2 linked regions of the Macaca mulatta genome follow. The protein of the gene in region 1 interacts with the protein of each later gene in a pairwise test. Links are inferred from orthologs where the notes say so. Each region holds a gene or a part of one and is shown on either strand. Other genes may lie near its edges.

What was found.
Region 2: the proteins of CHAF1A (region 1) and MBD1 interact in binary tests that used the Homo sapiens proteins (3 or more experiments, as listed by UniProt). The link is inferred for Macaca mulatta from reciprocal best matches to the Homo sapiens genes CHAF1A and MBD1.

What each region holds. Positions count from the first base shown.
Region 1 is NC_133424.1:5,239,462-5,248,517, forward strand, and holds part of CHAF1A (chromatin assembly factor 1 subunit A), read left to right. Parts: intron 1-1,303; coding exon 1,304-2,160; intron 2,161-9,056. UniProt on the Homo sapiens protein: Acts as a component of the histone chaperone complex chromatin assembly factor 1 (CAF-1), which assembles histone octamers onto DNA during replication and repair.
Region 2 is NC_133423.1:42,024,290-42,033,345, forward strand, and holds part of MBD1 (methyl-CpG-binding domain protein 1), read left to right. Parts: 5' UTR 1-14; intron 15-1,365; 5' UTR 1,366-1,390; coding exon 1,391-1,500; intron 1,501-4,452; coding exon 4,453-4,567; intron 4,568-4,658; coding exon 4,659-4,825; intron 4,826-4,912; coding exon 4,913-4,995; intron 4,996-5,241; coding exon 5,242-5,282; intron 5,283-5,643; coding exon 5,644-5,790; intron 5,791-5,893; coding exon 5,894-6,022; intron 6,023-6,376; coding exon 6,377-6,493; intron 6,494-6,576; coding exon 6,577-6,645; intron 6,646-7,290; coding exon 7,291-7,458; intron 7,459-7,780; coding exon 7,781-8,080; intron 8,081-8,173; coding exon 8,174-8,311; intron 8,312-8,688; coding exon 8,689-8,820; intron 8,821-8,905; coding exon 8,906-8,967; intron 8,968-9,056. UniProt on the Homo sapiens protein: Transcriptional repressor that binds CpG islands in promoters where the DNA is methylated at position 5 of cytosine within CpG dinucleotides. Binding is abolished by the presence of 7-mG that is produced by DNA damage by methylmethanesulfonate (MMS).

The sequences.
Region 1 (9,056 bases):
AATGGTGAAACCCCATCTCTATTAAAATACAAAATAGCTGGGCATGGTGGGGGACACCTGTAGTCCCAGCTACTTGGGAGGCCGAGGCAAGAGAATTGCTTGAACCCGGGAGGAAGAGGTTGCAGTGAGCCAAGGGTGTACCATTACACTCCAGCCTGGTGACAGAGTGAGACTGTCTCAAAACAAACAACCCCCCCCCCAAAAAAAAAAACAGGTTTTTATTTGGTCTATTACATGATGAAATAGTTAATAAAAAGATGAATTGGCATGGAAGTAAGTGAACATAGGTTCCTTGGGATGTTCACTCTCTAAAGTGTTTCTGCGTCCCTCCTAACGAGCCCGAATCCTGGCAGGCTCTGGGAGAACAGTCTGATTGATGAGAAAAGCCTAACAGAGCCTGGGGTGCTGAGGCCAGGAAAAAAACAAAACAAAACAAAAAACCCTGTCCACAAATATGTCTGTGTATTTTCTACTTGAGAACCAGATGCAGTTATCATCAAATGAGATTTTCACCCATTATAAATAAATTTGGAATATGAACTGGATCTGAAATCAAAAAATGTCTGTTGAAATTCTGGCAGTAGCTCTGCTAAAAGACTTGTCAGGATTTTGTTTTTGTTTTTTTTTGAGACGGAGTCTCGCTCTGTCGCCCAGGCTGGAGTGCAGTGGCCAGATCTCAGCTCACTGCAAGCTCCGCCTCCTGGGTTTACACCATTCTCCTGCCTCAGCCTCCTGAGTAGTTGGGACTATAGGTGCCCACCACCTCGCCCGGCTAGTTTTTGTATTTTTTAGTAGAGACGGGGTTTCACCGTGTTAGCCAGGATGGTCTTGATCTCCTGACCTCGTGATCCACCTGTCTCGGCCCCCCAAAGTGCTGGGATTACAGGCTTGAGCCACCGTACCCGGCCAGGATTTTGGTTTTTTTTAAATTAGGATGTTGAAGTGGGGCATGGTGACTCACGCCTGTAATCCCAGCACCTGGGTTCAAGCTGTTCTCCTGCCTCAGCTTCTCAAGTAGCTGGGATTACAGGCACGTACCACTACACCCAGCTATTTTGTATTTTTAGTAGAGACGGGGTTTCACCGTTTTGGTCTGTCTGGTCTCGAACTCCTGACCTTGTGACCTACCTGCCTTGGCCTCCCAAAGTGCTGGGATTACAGGTGTGAGCCACCACCCAGATAGACCCTTTTTAAACTTTAAAATTATCCCCCACGCCTGTGTCCCAACAAGTCAATAATTTTCAAGCTCATGAGTGGTTGTAACTTTAAACGTTCACTAAAGATGGCTTTCTCTTTGTTTCAGCCCGTCTGCCGTTTAAGCGCCTGAATCTTGTCCCAAAGGGGAAAGACGATGACATGTCAGATGATCAGGTTACTTCTGTGCAGAGTAAAAGCCCCGATTTGGAGGCCTCTTTGGACACCTTGGAAAACGACTGTCCTGTGGGTTCTGACATAGACTTTAGACCAAAACTTGTCAACGGGAAGGGTCCCTTAGATAACTTTTTAGGAAACAGAGTCGAAACCAGTGTTGGCCAGAGCACAGTCATCATTGATTTGACAGAGGACTCAAATGAGCAGCCAGACAGTCTTGTGGACCACAATAAACTGAGTTCTGAAGCTTCTCCCTCCAGGGAAGCAGTAAATGGCAACCGAGAAGACACTAGGGATCAGCAGGGGTCGTTGAAGGCCAATCAGAACGACAAGTTGGCATTTCCTGGAGAGACCCTTTCAAACATTCCTTACAAAACAGAGGAGGAGGGTGTTGGCTGTGGAGGTGCAGGGAGGAGAGGTGACTCCCAGGAATGTTCACCACAGAGCTGCCCGGAGCTGACGAGTGGTCTGAGACTGTGCTCCAGAAAGGAGCAGGACAGTTGGAGTGAAGCTGGGGGCATCCTGTTCAGAGGGAAGGTGCCCATGGTGGTCTTGCAGGACATCTTGGCTGTGAGACCGCCCCAAACCAAGTCCCCTCCAGCCACACCCCAAGGCAAGGACATGACCCCTGAGAGCGGGGCGCTGGAATCTTGCCCTGAAGAAGACTCTGTACTCAGCCATTCGTCCCTGAGCTCTCCCTCTTCCACCAGCTCTCCCGAGGGGCCGCCTGCTCCCACAAAGCGACACAGCAGCACCAGTCCCTTCCCCACCTCCACGCCCGTGCGCAGAGTGAGTATCTCCCATGGAGTCCCTACACATCAGTGCTCATGGATCTCAGAGCACGCTGTCAGTCTCCACCGGGTCACCCAGCTGGTCTGTGGCAGAGTGAGCGGGGCCACAGGCTGGGTCCTGGGACTCGACACGGAGTTCTTGTATCAAAACTCAGTGTTCGGTTCTGCATTCGTTGTGATGCGCCTGGGACTTAATTCATCAACAGTGTACCTGGTGTACTGTGTGGATAACACCCTGCTGTTTTGCTTCGTTGTTTACATCTAATTAGTGATAGCTTAGCCATTTTAGGGAATTAGGATCTGAGCTGGTGCTGTAACCCCTCACTTGAGATTCCAGGTCCAGCTCTCTCTGTGCCCCTCCCATCCAAGCATAGAACTGTAGGGACGGGGCTATGGAGGCATTGAGCACTGAAGTGGCAGTGAGACGGCAGGAAGCATGACATGGGGAATTCTGTAGAGTCAGCACAGCCACCCATCTAAAAAACCTCACCTGGGGCCAGGCGCAGTGGCTCATGGCTGTCATCCCAGCACTTTGGGAGGCCGAGGTGGGAGGATCGCTTGAAGATCAAAACCAACCTGGACAACAAAGACACCATCTCTACAAAAAAAAAAAATTATTTTTATTTTTTTGACAGAGCCACTCTATCACCCAGCCTCTGGAGTTCAGTGGCGTGATCTCTGCTCACTGCAACCTCCGCCTCCCAGGTTCAAGTGATTCTCCTGCCTCAGCCTCCCTAATAGCTGGGATTATAGGTGTGCGCTACCACACCTGGCTAATTTTTATATTTTTAGTGGAGACAGGGTTTCACTATCTTTGCCAGGCTAGTCTTGAATTCCTGACCTCAAGTGATCTGCCCATCTTGGCCTCCCAAAGTGCTGGAATTACAGGCATGAGCCACTGCACCCAGCCCTGCAAAAAAATTTTTTTTAATTATCCGGGCATGGTGGCACATGCCTGTAGTCCCAGCCACCTGGGAAGCCGAGGCAGGAGGATCACTTGAGCTGAGGAGGTGGAGGCTGCAGTGAGCTGTGATCACACCACTGTGCTCCAGCCTGGATGACAGAGTGAGACCCCATCTGGAACCATTTTTAAGGACCCCATAAGAGGGACTTTTGCATGGACTGTCTCTGTTACTGTTTTTTTATTAGCACGATGGTGTCCTTAGGATCTTATGGACCAAACTGATAAAATCAGTCACAAGTTCCATGCTGTGTTTAATGGTGTCTTTTTTTGGTTTATATATTTTTACTTTTTATCTTAAGTATGTAGAACCAGAAGAGACAGTGCCTTTTTTTTGTTTTTGGTTTTGTAGCACTTTTGTTTGTTCATGCTGGTTCTTTATAAGAGAGTAGATCCTGAGATGGGTCATTTAATCTCTACTTGTAAGCAGGTACAGTAGACCACCTGGACTATAAACCACCAACCTTGTTCGCTTTTGGGATTTTGAGCTCTAAGGAACAATTTCTTTTTCTTTCTTTCTTTTTTTTTTTTTTTTTTTTTTTTTGAGACGGAGTCTCGCTCTGTCGCCCAGACTGGAGTGCAGTGGCCGGATCTCAGCTCACTGCAAGCTCCGCCTCCCGGGTTTACGCTATTCTCCTGCCTCAGCCTCCCGAGTAGCTGGGACTACAGGCGCCCGCCACCGCGCCCGACTAGTTTTTTTTTTGTATTTTTAGTAGAGACGGGGTTTCACCGTGTTAGCCAGGATGGTCTCGATCTCCTGACCTCGTGATCCGCCTGTCTCGGCCTCCCAAAGTGCTGGGATTACAGGCTTGAGCCACCGCGCCCGGCCTCTTTTTTTTTTTTTTTTTTTTTTGAGACAGTCTTGCTTTGTCACCCAGGCTGGAGTGCAGTGGCGCCATCTAAGCTCACTGCAACCTCCGCCTCCTGGGTTCAAGCAATTCTGCCTCAGCCTCTCAAGTAGCTGGGATTAGAGGCACCCGCCACCAGGCTCAGCTAATTTTTGTATTTTTAGTAGAGATGGAGTTTTGCCATGATGGCCAGGCTGGTCTTGAACTCCTGACCTCAGGTGAGGGGAGGCCTTGGCCTCCCAAAATGCTGGGATCACAGGCTTGGCCGGGACCATTTATTTTTCCGAACGACATCATTTCTTGTCTTTCACTTGAGAAGAGGCAAAAGGAAAAAATGACTTCCTCTTTAGGTTCATGAAATGTTGATTAAAAAATGGAGCAAATTTTTTTTTTTTTTTTAGACATGGTCTCACCCTGTCGCCCAGGCTGGAGTGCAGTGGCATGATGTCAGCTTACTGCAACCTCCACCTTCTGGGTTCGAGAGATTTTCCTGCCTTAGCCTCTGAGTAGCTGGGATTACAGGTGCCCACCACCATGCCTGGCTAATTTTTGTATTTTTTTGAGTAGAGAACAGGTTTCACCACGTTGGCCAGGCTGGTCTCAAACTTCTGACCTCAAGTGATCCGCTCGCCTTGGCCTCCCAAAGTACTGGGATTACAGGCATAAGCCACTGCCCCGGTCTTCTTTTTTTGTGTGTGCTGGTTTGTTATATAGGTAAACTCTTGTCATGGGGGTTTGTTGTACAGATTATTTCATCACTCAGGTACTAAGCCTAGTACCCTTTTCTAAGATGCTAAATGTGACAGACTGGGATGTACACATTTCAACTTCTACCTAAGGCACCACACAGTCTCCCAAAATCAGAGTTGAAGTCATTCCCCATTGGCCATCCTGTAGTGTACATTCGATCACTTTAATTTCTTCCAGGCTGCTGCCGCTTTGCAGAATTTCGTCCTGTGGTGTGTTGCAGCCGTTTAGCAAGAACAGGACACATGGCCGGGCACGGTGGCTCACACCTGTAATCCCAGCACTTAGGGAGGCCGAGGTGGGTGGATCACCTGAGGTCGGAAGTTCGAGACCAGGCTGACCAACATAGAGAAACCCTGTCTCTACTAAAAATACAAAAAAGTAGCTGGGTGTGGTGGTGTGTGCCTGAAATCCCAGCTACGCTGGAGGCTGAGGCAGGAGAATCGCTTGAACCCAGGAGGCAGAGGTTGCGGTGACCTGAGATCGCGCCACTGCACTCCAGTCTGGGTAACGAGCAAAACTCCGTCTCAGGAAAAAAAATTAAAAAAAAGAACAGGGCCGGGCGCGGTGGCTCAAGCCTGTAATCCCAGCACTTTGGGAGGCCGAGACGGGCGGATCATGAGGTCAGGAGATCGAGACCATCCTGGCTAACACAGTGAAACCCCGTCTCTACTAAAAATACAAAAACTTAGCCGGGCGAGGTGGCAGGCGCCTGTAGTCCCAGCTACTCGGGAGGCTGAGGCAGGAGAATGGCGTGAACCCGGGAGGCGGAGCTTGCAGTGAGCTGAGATCCGGCCACTGCACTCCAGCCTGGGTGACAGAGCGAGACTCCGTCTCAAAAAAAAAAAAAAAAAAAAAAAAAAAAAGGACAGGACACAAGCACATGTTTCCATTAAGTTTGTTTCCATGTCCACAGCCTAGTCTGCAAACTGGGAAGTCCCCTCGTTGGTCATCATGGTGACACATCCTACCTGCTTTCTAAAACAGCTGAGCACATGAACCCAGTGTGCGACATTTAGGAAACCCTGCATTTAGGATGCTAGGTCTTGTTCTGAACACAGGCTCGAGGTTTTGGAATGCACTCGAAGGCAGTATTACCCCAACTCTTCAGATAATTTGCAAGTGGTAAAGGCTTCAAGCTGGCCCAGAGCCTATGGCAGAAAGCGGCCACAACCACTCCCAGAGGGCCTGTCAGTCACCGAAGCTATGAGGGAAGCGATTATCAGGAGGCCTCCGCATGCCCTGATGGCAGGGCTCCCTGAGATCCCAGCTGGAAGAGACTTCACCCCCAACCCCTAAGTTATCTCTGTACCTTTGAGGAGTCCTGCATTTTTGGGTTGGTTGATTTGCTTCATGCTTGGTACCTAACTGTTTTTTTTTTTTTTTAATTTATTTTAATTTATTTTTTTGAGACAAAGTCTCACTCTGTTGCCCAGGCTGGAGTGCAATGGTGTGATCTCGGCTCCTGCAACCTCTGCCTCCTGGGTTCAAGTGATTCTCGTGTCTCAGCCTCCCAAGTAGCTAGGATTACAGGCATGTGCCACCAGGCCTGGCTAATTTTTGTATTTTTAGTAAAGACGGGGTTTCACGACGTTGGTCAGGCTGGTCTCGAACTCCTGACCTCGTGATCCACCAACCTCAGCTTCCCAAAGTGCTGGGATTACAGGCATGAGCCACCGTGCTGGCCAGTTGGTACCTAACTCTTAATACCTTTCCTTGCCATGAGGTCCGAGCCACCCCCTGCCGACAACCCCTGTTACTCTGGGGAATACATTGTTTTCACACTTTCCCTCCCCACCAGCAGCTCTTTCCAGATTGCAAGGGCGAGCTGGTAGGAAGCTTGCAGATTGTTTCGTGCTGCTGTGTAATCTGTGTGCTTGTCACTGGGGTCTGTTCTTCGTGGAGTTGGTACAGTGAAATCTGCATTGAGCCCCGGGGCAGCCATTGCCACTGTACTTTGTGGGCTGGCTTGCCTTCTTTTTTCCTTCTTTAAAAGAAAATGGGAGTTTGTTTCTATACAGATCCTGCTGTCCTTTTTCAGGGAGCTTCAGGGCGTGTTTTTGTTTTGGTTTTTGTTGTTTTAGTACTGCAGGATCTGAAGAATCTCACTTTGGAAAACAATGATTTAGAAAGATCCGTCCTTTGAATGGCTGAAGTGTTCCTTTTTAGTATTAAGAGTTTTCTACCCTGTGGGAAAGAACCATTTCTGAAGTTTGTTTGCAATCAGACTTGTAATTTAGCCTTTTCTGTTAGTGATCGAGATGATTATTCCACAAATGATCATGTTGGTGCAGTTGTATTCCTGGAATCTTTGGCTTGCCTCTCTTCTGAGATTGCTGGAACTTCTTTCCATATACTTGAACTTACATTTGTAATAAATTCTCCATGTTTAAAAGAAATAATGGTCCAGGTGTGGTGGCTCATGCCTGTAATCCCAGCACTTTGGGAAGCCGAGGTGGGAGGATCGCTTGAACCTAGGAGTTCAAAACTGGCTTGACCAACATGGTGAAACCCTGTCTGTATAAAAAATACAAAAATTAACAGGGTGGTGGTATGCACCTGAAGTCCCAGCTCCTTGGGAGGCTGAGGTGGAAGGATCACTTGAGCCAAGTAGGCAGAGGTTGCAGTGAGTCATGATTGCACTACGCTCCAGCCTGGGCAACAGTCAGACCCTGTCTCAAAAAAACAAAAAGGAAAGAAAGAATGGAAACCTCGCAGCCCTCTGTTCTCCCAGGAGGTTGCCATTATTATCATCATCATCATTTTGTATTTTTCTGTGTCCTGCATATCCAGAGAGATCTCTAGGAAACACCCAGTATCATTTTGTTTCCTTGTGTATAACATATACTGTAAATATCTGTCTTTGTTACTCAGGGGTGTCTTAGATGTTTTTTATGTTAGGATGGAAAGATCGAACTCTCTGTTGCGTGATATCCCATAGTGTGGGTTACAGAGCTGTCTTCTCAGTTCTGTTGTTTCCGTGTTTGGCTTTCACAAAATGATTGTTCCCTTGAGCTTCCTTCTACAAGTGGCCTTGGGCTGTTAAGGAGAACTGTGCGTTCTTATTTTCCCAGCTTGCACTCTACTCGGGCCGATTTCAGGTTTTCTCTTTTCCCCCTGCCTTCGCTCCCCTGCTGTTAGGTTTTATCTGCTTATCTGGTCTGGGCTTGGAAATTAGATACCCTTTAGTATAAAGTCAGAGTCCATAGGCTCTGAGAGGATTATCCGGGAAAGGGTGCAGGAATTTTCATGCCCACACATAGTGAGCTCTGTCCCGACTCCTTGGGATTGTCGGGTTTTGTGTTTTGGCTTCCTTCTGGGATCCTGGATCACGTTTTTGGCAGTTGAGGGTGCTGTGTGACCCGGCTGCAGCTGGGTAGAATGTGGCAGCGTTGCATAGAATTTTGAGAGTGAGATCTATAAACACCTGGGTCAAATTTCAAGAAGATAAAGTTCCGCCAGACATCAAGGTCTGTCTGTTTGGTAAAATAAAAGAGACACTGGTTTTAAATTAAGCCGTAATTGCTCTGTTTTGGTTGTTGGGGATTATTGAGCGGGCTCTTGCAGGTCACATCAAGTCTATTATTCCTGGACTCACAGCAGAGGGGGGAGCATTGTAAAAGGCAGGAGATTGTGCAGCTGAGCTTCAGGTATGGGCAGGACTAAGCAACTGAGTTCCCCGCCGCCCCAAGATCACATTCCATACTATAATCTCTGAACACAAAGGGCAGCCCCGGAGAGCTGCACGTCCCACATTCTGCAGTTAAATCCCTCAGAGGGGGGCGGGGGGCACACAGCCTTGGCAGGCAGAATGGATGCTGGAAAGACATGCTTTTTCTGCAGCATTTGGTGAGGCTGCCTCTGGCTGGCATTTCTGTTGCCACATTCTCAGTAAAGACTGAGCACCCTGCCCGATCTCGGTGGTGAAGGAGCTCCCGCCAACATGGGCAGCCTTCTCACAACGACTTGGCCTTTCCCTAAAGAAAGGTTTAGTCCAGAAAGGACTCAGTGGGACCCAGGTGGAAAGGCTGTCTTCTTGAGTTCATTCATCTGAAGCTTTTATTCTGTGAGGGCCTAGTCAGGGATTCAGCTTTCCCAGATAAAGAAATCACTGTTGGCCAGGTGGGGTGGCTCACGCCTTTAATCCTAGCATTTTGGGAGGCCGAGGCGGGCGGATCACGAGGACAGGAGATCGAGACCATCCTGGCTAACACGGTGAAACCCCCGTCTCTACTAAAAATACAAAAAAATTAGCTAGGCATGGTGGTGGGCGCCTATAGTCCCAACTACTCAGCAGACTGAAGCAGGAGAATCGCTTGAACCCGGGAGGCAGAGCTT
Region 2 (9,056 bases), on another chromosome or scaffold:
CTGGTGCCAAACTGGTGAGACAGCCTTGGGGCTGGACGTGGAGAGTGCTCAGGCGGAGGATAGGAAGGAATTGTGGCTGAGAACGCTGACGGGGAGGAATCAAGGGCCCTCAGGCCGATGAGGGGGAGGAATGGCGGCGTCGGAATACTGACGAGGAGAAACGGGGGAATTTAGGCTGAGGACAGGAAGGAATGGAGCTCAGAACTCTGACAGGTAGGAGTGTCGGGATCCTGGGACGAGGACGGAGAGGAATGGTGGAGATCAGAACGCTAAAGGGAGACATCAGGGCATCTGAAGTTGAGAGAGAAATGGGGGTTCAGAACTCCGAGCGGGAGAAATGAGGGGCCCTCAGGCTGATGACAGGAGAAATGGAGGCGTTGGAATGCTGAAAGGGAGGAATGGGAGGCCCCATATAGAGGACGAGGAGCAGTAGGGGATCAGAACGCTGACAGTTAGGGATGGCATGATCCCAGGACAAGAACAGAGAATGGGGGAGGGTTCGGAATGCTGAGGGGAGAAATTAGGGTCTCTCAGGATAAGGGAGGAATGGAGAATGAGAACAGTGAGAGGGAGAAGTGGGGAACTTTTTGGATGTAGAGGAGAGAAACAGGAAGGTTTGGGGGCTGAGACTGGGGAGAAATTGTGGGCCAGAACATTGAAGGAGAAGAAAAATAAGGGGGGAGCTCTTGGCTGAGGAAGGGGAGGCATGGGAGGCTTCCAGTGTGTGAGAAATGGAAAAGATGAGGGGCTGTTCGGGTCATGGGTTGGAGCAGTTGTGTCTCGCAGAGGAAGTCGAGGTTGTAACACTGAGGTAGCAAGATAAGAGGACATCAGGCAGAGACGGAATGGAATGGTTAAAACACTGAAGGAAGGAAATTAGGAACTCCTGGGTCGGGGAAGGGGGGAATGAGAGACTACTGAAGCCAAGTAGTGAGGGCAAGAGAAATGGGGCCCTTTGGGGCTGAGGATGGGAAGTATGGGGGTCTTGTGGTGATAAAATAGAGGGATAGAGGCCCTTAGGTCAGTGACAGGGAGGAATGAGGGGGGAAGATGAAAAGTTTCTGGATTGGCAGTGAGGAGAAATGATGGGCTGTCAGTCTGAGGATAGAGAGGAGTAGGGGATTAGGACACTAAGAATAATAAACAGGGATCCTTGGGTTGAGGAATGAGGATCTCCTAGGCCCAGAATAGGAAAGAATGGGGTGAGAATATGAGGGGTTTCTTCTCCATATATGGGCTGGTTGCCTGCGGCAGGTCCTAGGTCTTGGGCAAGCACTAATGGATACCAGTGATTTGTGTGGCCTGGGGCACATTTTGTCCCTTCCTAGAGCCTCAGTTTCCCTCATCCCCTCAACCCCCTTTCAGGCTACTGCTGCTTTCTGTGGCCTCCATGGCTGAGGACTGGCTGGACTGCCCGGCCCTGGGCCCTGGCTGGAAGCGCCGTGAAGTCTTTCGCAAGTCAGGGGCCACCTGTGGACGCTCAGACACCTATTACCAGAGGTACTGGGTGGGTTGTGGGCAGAGTGGGGGTGGGGTAGAGCCTCATTAGGGTAAAATCAAATAGTGCGGTTAAATTTATGGATGGAGTTTAAATTATGCACAGTTAATCGTTATTAGCGGATTTTGTGTTTGCAATTTCACCTACTTAATACAGTATTTGTAACTTAAAAGTCACTACTCACAGTGCATTTGTGATTATTGAAGGACATGCACAGAGCAGTGAAAAACTGTCACTCAATGCATGTGTTTCTAGCTGAGACTGAAGGAGCCCTTTTTATTTCAGCTTTAATACTGTAAACAAGTGTCCTTTTCGTGGTCTGTTTAGTGTCACATTTTTCTAATTTTTGTATGTTTTGTTGGTGATTTTGCTTTTTAAAATAGTCCTCAAGCGTAGTGCTGAGGTGCTGTTTAGTGTTCTGAGTGTGAGAAGGCCATGTCGTGCCTTACGGAGAAAATACAAGGCAGATAAACCTTGTTGGTTATCTGAGTTACAATGCTGTTGGCTGTAAGTTCAATGTTATGCATCAGAATTATGGTACAACCAGAAAAAGAAGGAAATTTGCCAATATGTGCACAAGGCTGCTTCAGAAAATACAGAAAGCATTTATAGTCTTGAAGCTATGGAAGAGATGAGAAAGCAGCTACGTTGGTGGATTCATGAAATGACGATCAATAAAGCATAGTGGACAGCATTGTTGAGGAAAGCCAAAGTCACGTTACCCTGGGTTAGGAAAATATTAAGGTTGTATCAGCTAGTGCTGGCTGACTTGCACATTTCAAAAGGCAACATGGCATGAAAAATGTTAAACTTGCATGCAATGCAGGTTCTCCCGATCAGGAGTCTTCCGAAGAATTTTAAAAATACCTTTTAAGTGTTTTATAGGAAAGGGGTTGTGTAGAAGAGTGGTTTTCAATGCCAATGGGATTGGCTTGTTAAACAAAAATATTAGCAAACAAACCTACAGAACACATATGGCCTCCAAAGCCCCTGGTTTGAGTCATTCAAAGACCATGCAAATAATCATTTGTAAAAAATATATATTAAGTAATGTGTATTTAAACAGAAACACGCACAAAACAGAAGTTCAGATGCTCTCAGGAACCTAACCCTGTATTTCCTCTAGGAGCAATGGTTTTGTATTCAGTGTTCATGGCAACTTTGTAGAACATACCTACCATAACTAATGAGAATCAGCATAGATGTTTATAAGCATTTACATGTGTTTAGGCTACATTAATTATTATGTTTCTATATTCGTTCTGATTTTTTAAATCTAAGTTGCAGTTTTCCAGGTAAATATCAAATTACAAATTACTTTTTGTTTGTATTTAGTTATAATTTATTCACATATTTATGTACTCGTATAAAACTTTCAAAACTTAAAAGTGCAGTTGTCAGGAACTACGAAGGATCTGAGATTTCATTCTTAGGACAAGATAATAGTGAATTTGTCAGAATTTTGTAGATGTTGGTAGGAGAGGTAAGACTCCTGGGTTACAGGTCAAAGACAGTTTATTATAACAGTTGCAGGATCCAGAATAAGTCTCCCCCTTATCTGCAATTTCATTTTCCACAGCTTTAGTTACCTACAGTCAACCACCATCCAAAAATATTAAATGGAAAATTTTAGAAATAAACAATTCATTAGTTTTGAATTGTGTGCCGTTTTGAGTGGCGTGATGAAATCTCACACCATCCTGCTCAGTCCTGCTCAGGAGGTGAATCATCTCTTTGTCCATATCCATATCCATATCCATATCCATGTTCTATACACAACCTGCCTGTTAGTCGCTTAGTAACCATCTCAGTTATCAGGTAGAAAAAAACACAGTACATATTACATTAGGGTTTGGTACTATCCACGGTTTCAGGCATCCACTGGGGAACTTGGGATGTATACCCTGACGAGAGGGGGAATTACTGTATTACTATTTTTGTGCCAGTTTCCTGAATCCCAATTCCTACAGCATGACATGAAGAGGGTTGTATTATTATAGGAAAAGAACCCTGAGCTTAGAGAATCAAGTTTTTTTAATAACGTTAGGACACTAAGTATGCTTTCCTTTTACTATGGAAGGAGACCCTATCTCTTATCTTCCAAGGTTGTTTGCTTTACAAACATCCTTGGAAAGATAGTTTATCAAAAAGAATAATCGGTGTCTCTCTTGCAGGGCGTACAGAAATGCAAGAAACCAGGGGTCCCAAAATCAATTACTTATACTTTAATTTGTGTGTAGTTGTATTTGTTTGTGTGTTTTTAAAACATATTTGTGTTGTTTTCTTTGCTTGATTATATACTGGGTACATAATGCTAACTTATTTATTTATTTATTTATATTTTGAGATAGAGTCTCGCTCTGTCGCCCAGGCTGGAGTACAGTGGTGCAATCTCGGCTTACTGCAAACTCCGCCTCCCGGGTTCAAGCCATTCTCCTGCCTCAGCCTCCCGAGTAGCTGGGACTACAGGCACTCGCCGCCATGCGTGGCTAATTTTTTTTTGTATTTTTAGTAGAGATGGGGTTTCACCATGTTAGCCAGGATGGTCTTGATCTCCTGACCTCGTGATCCGCCCGCCTTGGCCTCCCAAGGTGCTGGGATTACAAGTGTGAGCCATCGCACCTGGCCAGTGCTAACATATTTATATGTTATTTAATATATTTGTGTTTCTATTTGTGTCTATTTTTACTTATGTGAAATAGTTCCAGTATTACTAGTATTATATGTTATAAATATATTTGTCTGTTTACATTTGTATTGTTTCTGATGTTTGTATTTGTGTTGGTATTTATATTAATTTTTTATGTTTTCAAGGTTAGTTGAGGTGGGGCTGGGCAGGGCTCACAGGCCAATTCCAGGCTGCCTCCTGTATCCTGCCAGCCCTGTCGGAAGGTTGTGTGGGTGAAATGACATTGGCTCCACTTGGGTGCTAACCCATCATGGCCCATCCCTAGCCCCACAGGAGACAGGATCCGAAGCAAAGTTGAGCTGACTCGATACCTGGGCCCTGCGTGTGATCTCACCCTCTTCGACTTCAAACAAGGCATCTTGTGCTATCCAGCCCCCAAGGTACTTTACAATGTGAGATGCCTAGGTAGGGGTGGCTGTGCCACTCAGCACCCACCCACTGACCCATATGCCTCCTTTCCTTACTTTCCAGGCCCATCCTGTGGCTGTTGCCAGCAAGAAGCGAAAGAAGCCTTCAAAGCCAGCCAAGACTCGGAAACGTCAGGTTGGACCCCAGAGTGGTGAGGTCAGGAAGGAGGCCCCAAGGGACGAGACCAAGGCTGACACTGACACAGCCCCAGCTTCATTCCCTGCTCCTGGGTGAGTGTTGGTTTGAGGTGAGCCAGATGGGTGAGGGTTGTGATTGGGGGTGCTCTTGGAGCCCCTCACCTGCCTTTCCCATCCCAGATGCTGTGAGAACTGTGGAATCAGCTTCTCAGGGGATGGCACCCAAAGGCAGCGGCTCAAAACATTGTGCAAAGACTGTCGAGGTGAGTGACCCCCAGAGGATGGGGCATCGGGAGATAGGAGCTAGAGCAGGTTCAGTGTCATGCTAGGCTGGGGGTTGAATGTAGATGTCAGGACAGAGGCTACTGGCATGGTTGGAGGTTGGATACTGGAGATAGCAGGCATGGGTAGAGGTTGAATAGTGGAAGTCAGGGCACAGGCAGTGAGTGAATCAGTCAGATGTCTGTTGCTTTCTTTCCACTTTTCTTCTTCCCTCTTCCTCCCCACAGCACAGAGAATTGCCTTCAACCGAGAACAGAGAATGTTTAAGGTAAGCACAACCTGCTTTCTCTTCACACCTCTGCAGTGGGAGCAGGATGTGATTGAGCTGGTAGAGTCCTAAGGGATGATGATAGGTCCACAGGATGAAGTCATTTTATAGGGTGCTCTCCATAGGTCAGCAAACACAGTAATGGGAATCAATGGGTTAATTAATTCCCGTTACCATTAGTGCATCAGTAGACACAGTGATGAAGTTAGCAAGGGACCAGTAGACATACTAATGGCCTCAGTGATGAGGCTTACGGGCGACTAGAAGTCCCGGTGATGGGAGCTGATGTAGGGTCAGTAGACATGGGAGGACCAGTGCTTCTGGAGCAGGCCCGTGATCTCGTCCCTACCATTCCTGGCAGCGTGTGGGCTGTGGGGAGTGTGCAGCCTGCCAGGTAACAGAAGACTGTGGGGCCTGCTCCACGTGCCTCCTGCAGCTGCCCCATGATGTGGCATCGGGGCTGTTCTGCAAGTGTGAACGGAGACGCTGCCTCCGGATTGTGGAAAGGGTGAGTCGGGCAAGTGGAAAGAGCCCAAGGCTCACCTCGGCCCCTGGCCCTCGTGGGCTTGGCCCCATGCTTCATGCCTCTGCTCCCACATCCCCTCCAACAGAGCCGAGGGTGTGGAGTATGCCGGGGCTGTCAGACCCAAGAGGACTGTGGCCGTTGTCCCATCTGCCTTCGCCCTCCCCGCCCTGGTCTCAGGCGCCAGTGGAAATGTGTCCAGCGACGTTGCCTACGGGTGAGTCGGGCTGGAGGGAGCAGAGCTCACTCTGCTGTTAAAATCGTCGCTGCCTCTGCTTCCTTTCAACCTGGCCTTGCCTACCTTATGTCTTTCTTTTCTGCCTAACCCCACGCTCACCTTTCTGGCCCCGCCTGCCTGCCCCTGTCTGCCAGCACCTTGCTCACCGCCTGCGTCGCCGTCATCAGAGATGTCAGCGACGCACTCCCCTGGCTGTGGCTCCCCCAACTGTGAGTGCCTCATGCCACCCTCTGTCTGCCTGTCCCATGCATGCTTTCTGCACTTAGGGAGTGGGGAGTTCCTGTGTCTGCCTGGTGCCACCAAGCTGAAACCACCCTTTCTGGTCTTTCCCAGGGTAAACATGCCCGCCGCAAGGGAGGCTGTGACTCCAAGATGGCTGCCAGGAGGCGCCCCGGAGCCCAGCCACTGCCTCCACCTTCCCCATCACAGTCCCCAGAGCCCACAGAGCCGGTGAGGCCCCAGTGGGTGGAGGGAAGGCACAACCCTGACCTTACCCAGTACCTGCCCTGACCCCACCCCATTTGCCTCTACAGCACCCCAGAGCCCTGGCCCCCTCGCCACCTGCCGAATTCATCTATTACTGTGTAGACGAGGACGAGCTAGTGAGTGGCCCTACCCTACCTGGATAAGCCTAGACTCTCAGGACGCTTGGTTAACTTCAAAGAAGCAGATGCTGGAATGAGCCTATTGGGGAACAGCAAGGCACAATAATGGGTCCTAGGATGGGATGAGTAGATAATGGAGGACTAATACAGGGTCAGCAGGTGCAATGACAGTGCCTCATGTCACATGTATCAACACTCTGGTGGCTGATGCAGGACTAATCGACACAGTGATGGGATTGACAGAGGAGCAGCTAGCACAATGACTGGGGTTCACACAGGATGAGCAGACAGAGTAGGCACAGTGATGGGAGCTAATAGAGAGTTATCAAAATGTTGCTGGAAATGGGGGTTAGAGACATTTTCTTGGTAGCCATTGGTGGCCTAGGAAATACAGCACTGGATATTGTAGTGGAGCAGCCACAGTCCTAATGGTATCGAGGGCCAGCTGGCACAGCGATAGTGGCCAATGTTGAACTAGCAAATGCTGAGGAGTGACTAGCTGGGAGTCAGGAGGCTGAGACTAGTATGCAAGTAGCTCCTTCTTATGGGGCTAGAGGAGCACCAGGACCAGCACTGGAATAGGCGTTGAGGATGGCCTCTCCTAGTCCTAGTTGACAGCACCACCCATTCCCCCCACCCCAGCAGCCCTACACGAACCGCCGGCAGAACCGCAAGTGCGGGGCCTGTGCAGCCTGCCTACGGCGGATGGACTGTGGCCGCTGCGACTTCTGCTGCGACAAGCCCAAATTCGGGGGCAGCAACCAGAAGCGCCAGAAGTGTCGTTGGCGCCAATGCCTGCAGTTTGCCATGGTGGGTGGGGCAGGAAGGGTCAGGTGGCCGGGATAGGTTGGGCCAGGCGCCCCAGTGCCTGGGAGTGGTGGGCAGGCTTGGTAGGTGGGTGGGTGGCGCAGTAGCTTTGGTTGAGGATTAACAGACATTGTGCTTGGCTTAATGAGTCTAGGTGGCATTGGTGTTGCTAATAGGAGACTAGCAGGCTCAATGACGAAGGGCTCATACGTAAGCAGATTCCATGCTGGGACCGATGGGAGATTAGCAGGCATGTGGAGCCGGGCAGGGTGGATGTGACTGGTCAGGACACCAGGTAGCCATAGCACCCTATCTTTCCTCATAGAAGCGGCTGCTGCCCAGTGTCTGGTCAGAGTCTGAGGATGGGGCAGGATCGCCCCCACCTTACCATCGTCGAAAGAGGCCCAGCTCTGCCCGACGTCACCATCTTGGGCCTACCTTGAAGCCCACCTTGGCTACACGCACAGCCCAACCAGACCATACCCAGGCTCCAACGAAGCAGGAAGCAGGTGGTGGCTTTGTGCTGCCTCCGCCTGGCACTGACCTTGTGTTTTTACGGGAGGGCGCAAGCAGTCCTGTGCAGGTGCCAGGCCCTGTTGCAGCTTCCACAGAAGCCCTGTTGCAGGTGAGGGCCCCACCCTGTCCTTCCCTTCCCAGCCCCACCCAGCCTCATGCCAGGGAGCTGAGACCAAGTCTGCTGCAATCCTCCCTCACGCAGGAGGCCCAGTGCTCTGGCCTGAGTTGGGTTGTGGCCTTACCCCAGGTGAAGCAAGAGAAGGCGGATACCCAGGACGAGTGGACACCAGGCACAGCTGTCCTGACTTCTCCCGTATTGGTGCCTGGCTGCCCTAGCAAGGTGGGGGCAGTGATGGATGTTCTGTTGATGCCGTAGCAGGCTGGTCTGTAAGCAGAGTGATGATGAGCCATGATGGTTCTCTTAAGCAGAGCAATAGATGTGCTGATTGCAACCTTTCTGCAGAATTACCCCGCCTGTCTAACAGACACCCTACCTCCTGCAGGCAATTAGCTTTGCCCGCTTTGCTGTCCAGCTAACAGAAAAACGGAGGTCAGTGAGGAATGGGAATGGGAAAGGTTTATAGGCAGAGATGGCCTTTCTGTGTTGAAATGTGATGGAAGGTAGGATTTGTCAGCACAGTGAGGGGTTGGCTGATAGAGACTTTCCTCGGGCTAACTCTGCCCTTCTAATGGCTGCCTGTTTCCTACTTCTCCCAGGCAGTAGACCCAGGCCTGCCATCTGTGAAGCAAGAGCCACCTGACCCTGAGGAGGACAAGGAGGAGAACAAGGATGACTCTGCCTCCAAATTGGCCCCAGAAGAAGAGGCAGGAGGGGCTGGCACACCCGTGGTCAGTGCTGGGGATGCCCCACCCTGCCCTGACCCTGCCATAGCCCCAACAACCACATTGACCTATGGTGTTAATTCTTCTCTAGATCACGGAGATTTTCAGCCTGGGTGGAACCCGCTTCCGAGATACAGCGGTCTGGTTGCCAAGGTGTGCCCCACACAGTGAGGGGTGGGGAAGGAGGGGGTGTTGGCCAGATGTGGGCCCTGAGTTTTGAAAGTATAGCCAGCAGTTTGGCA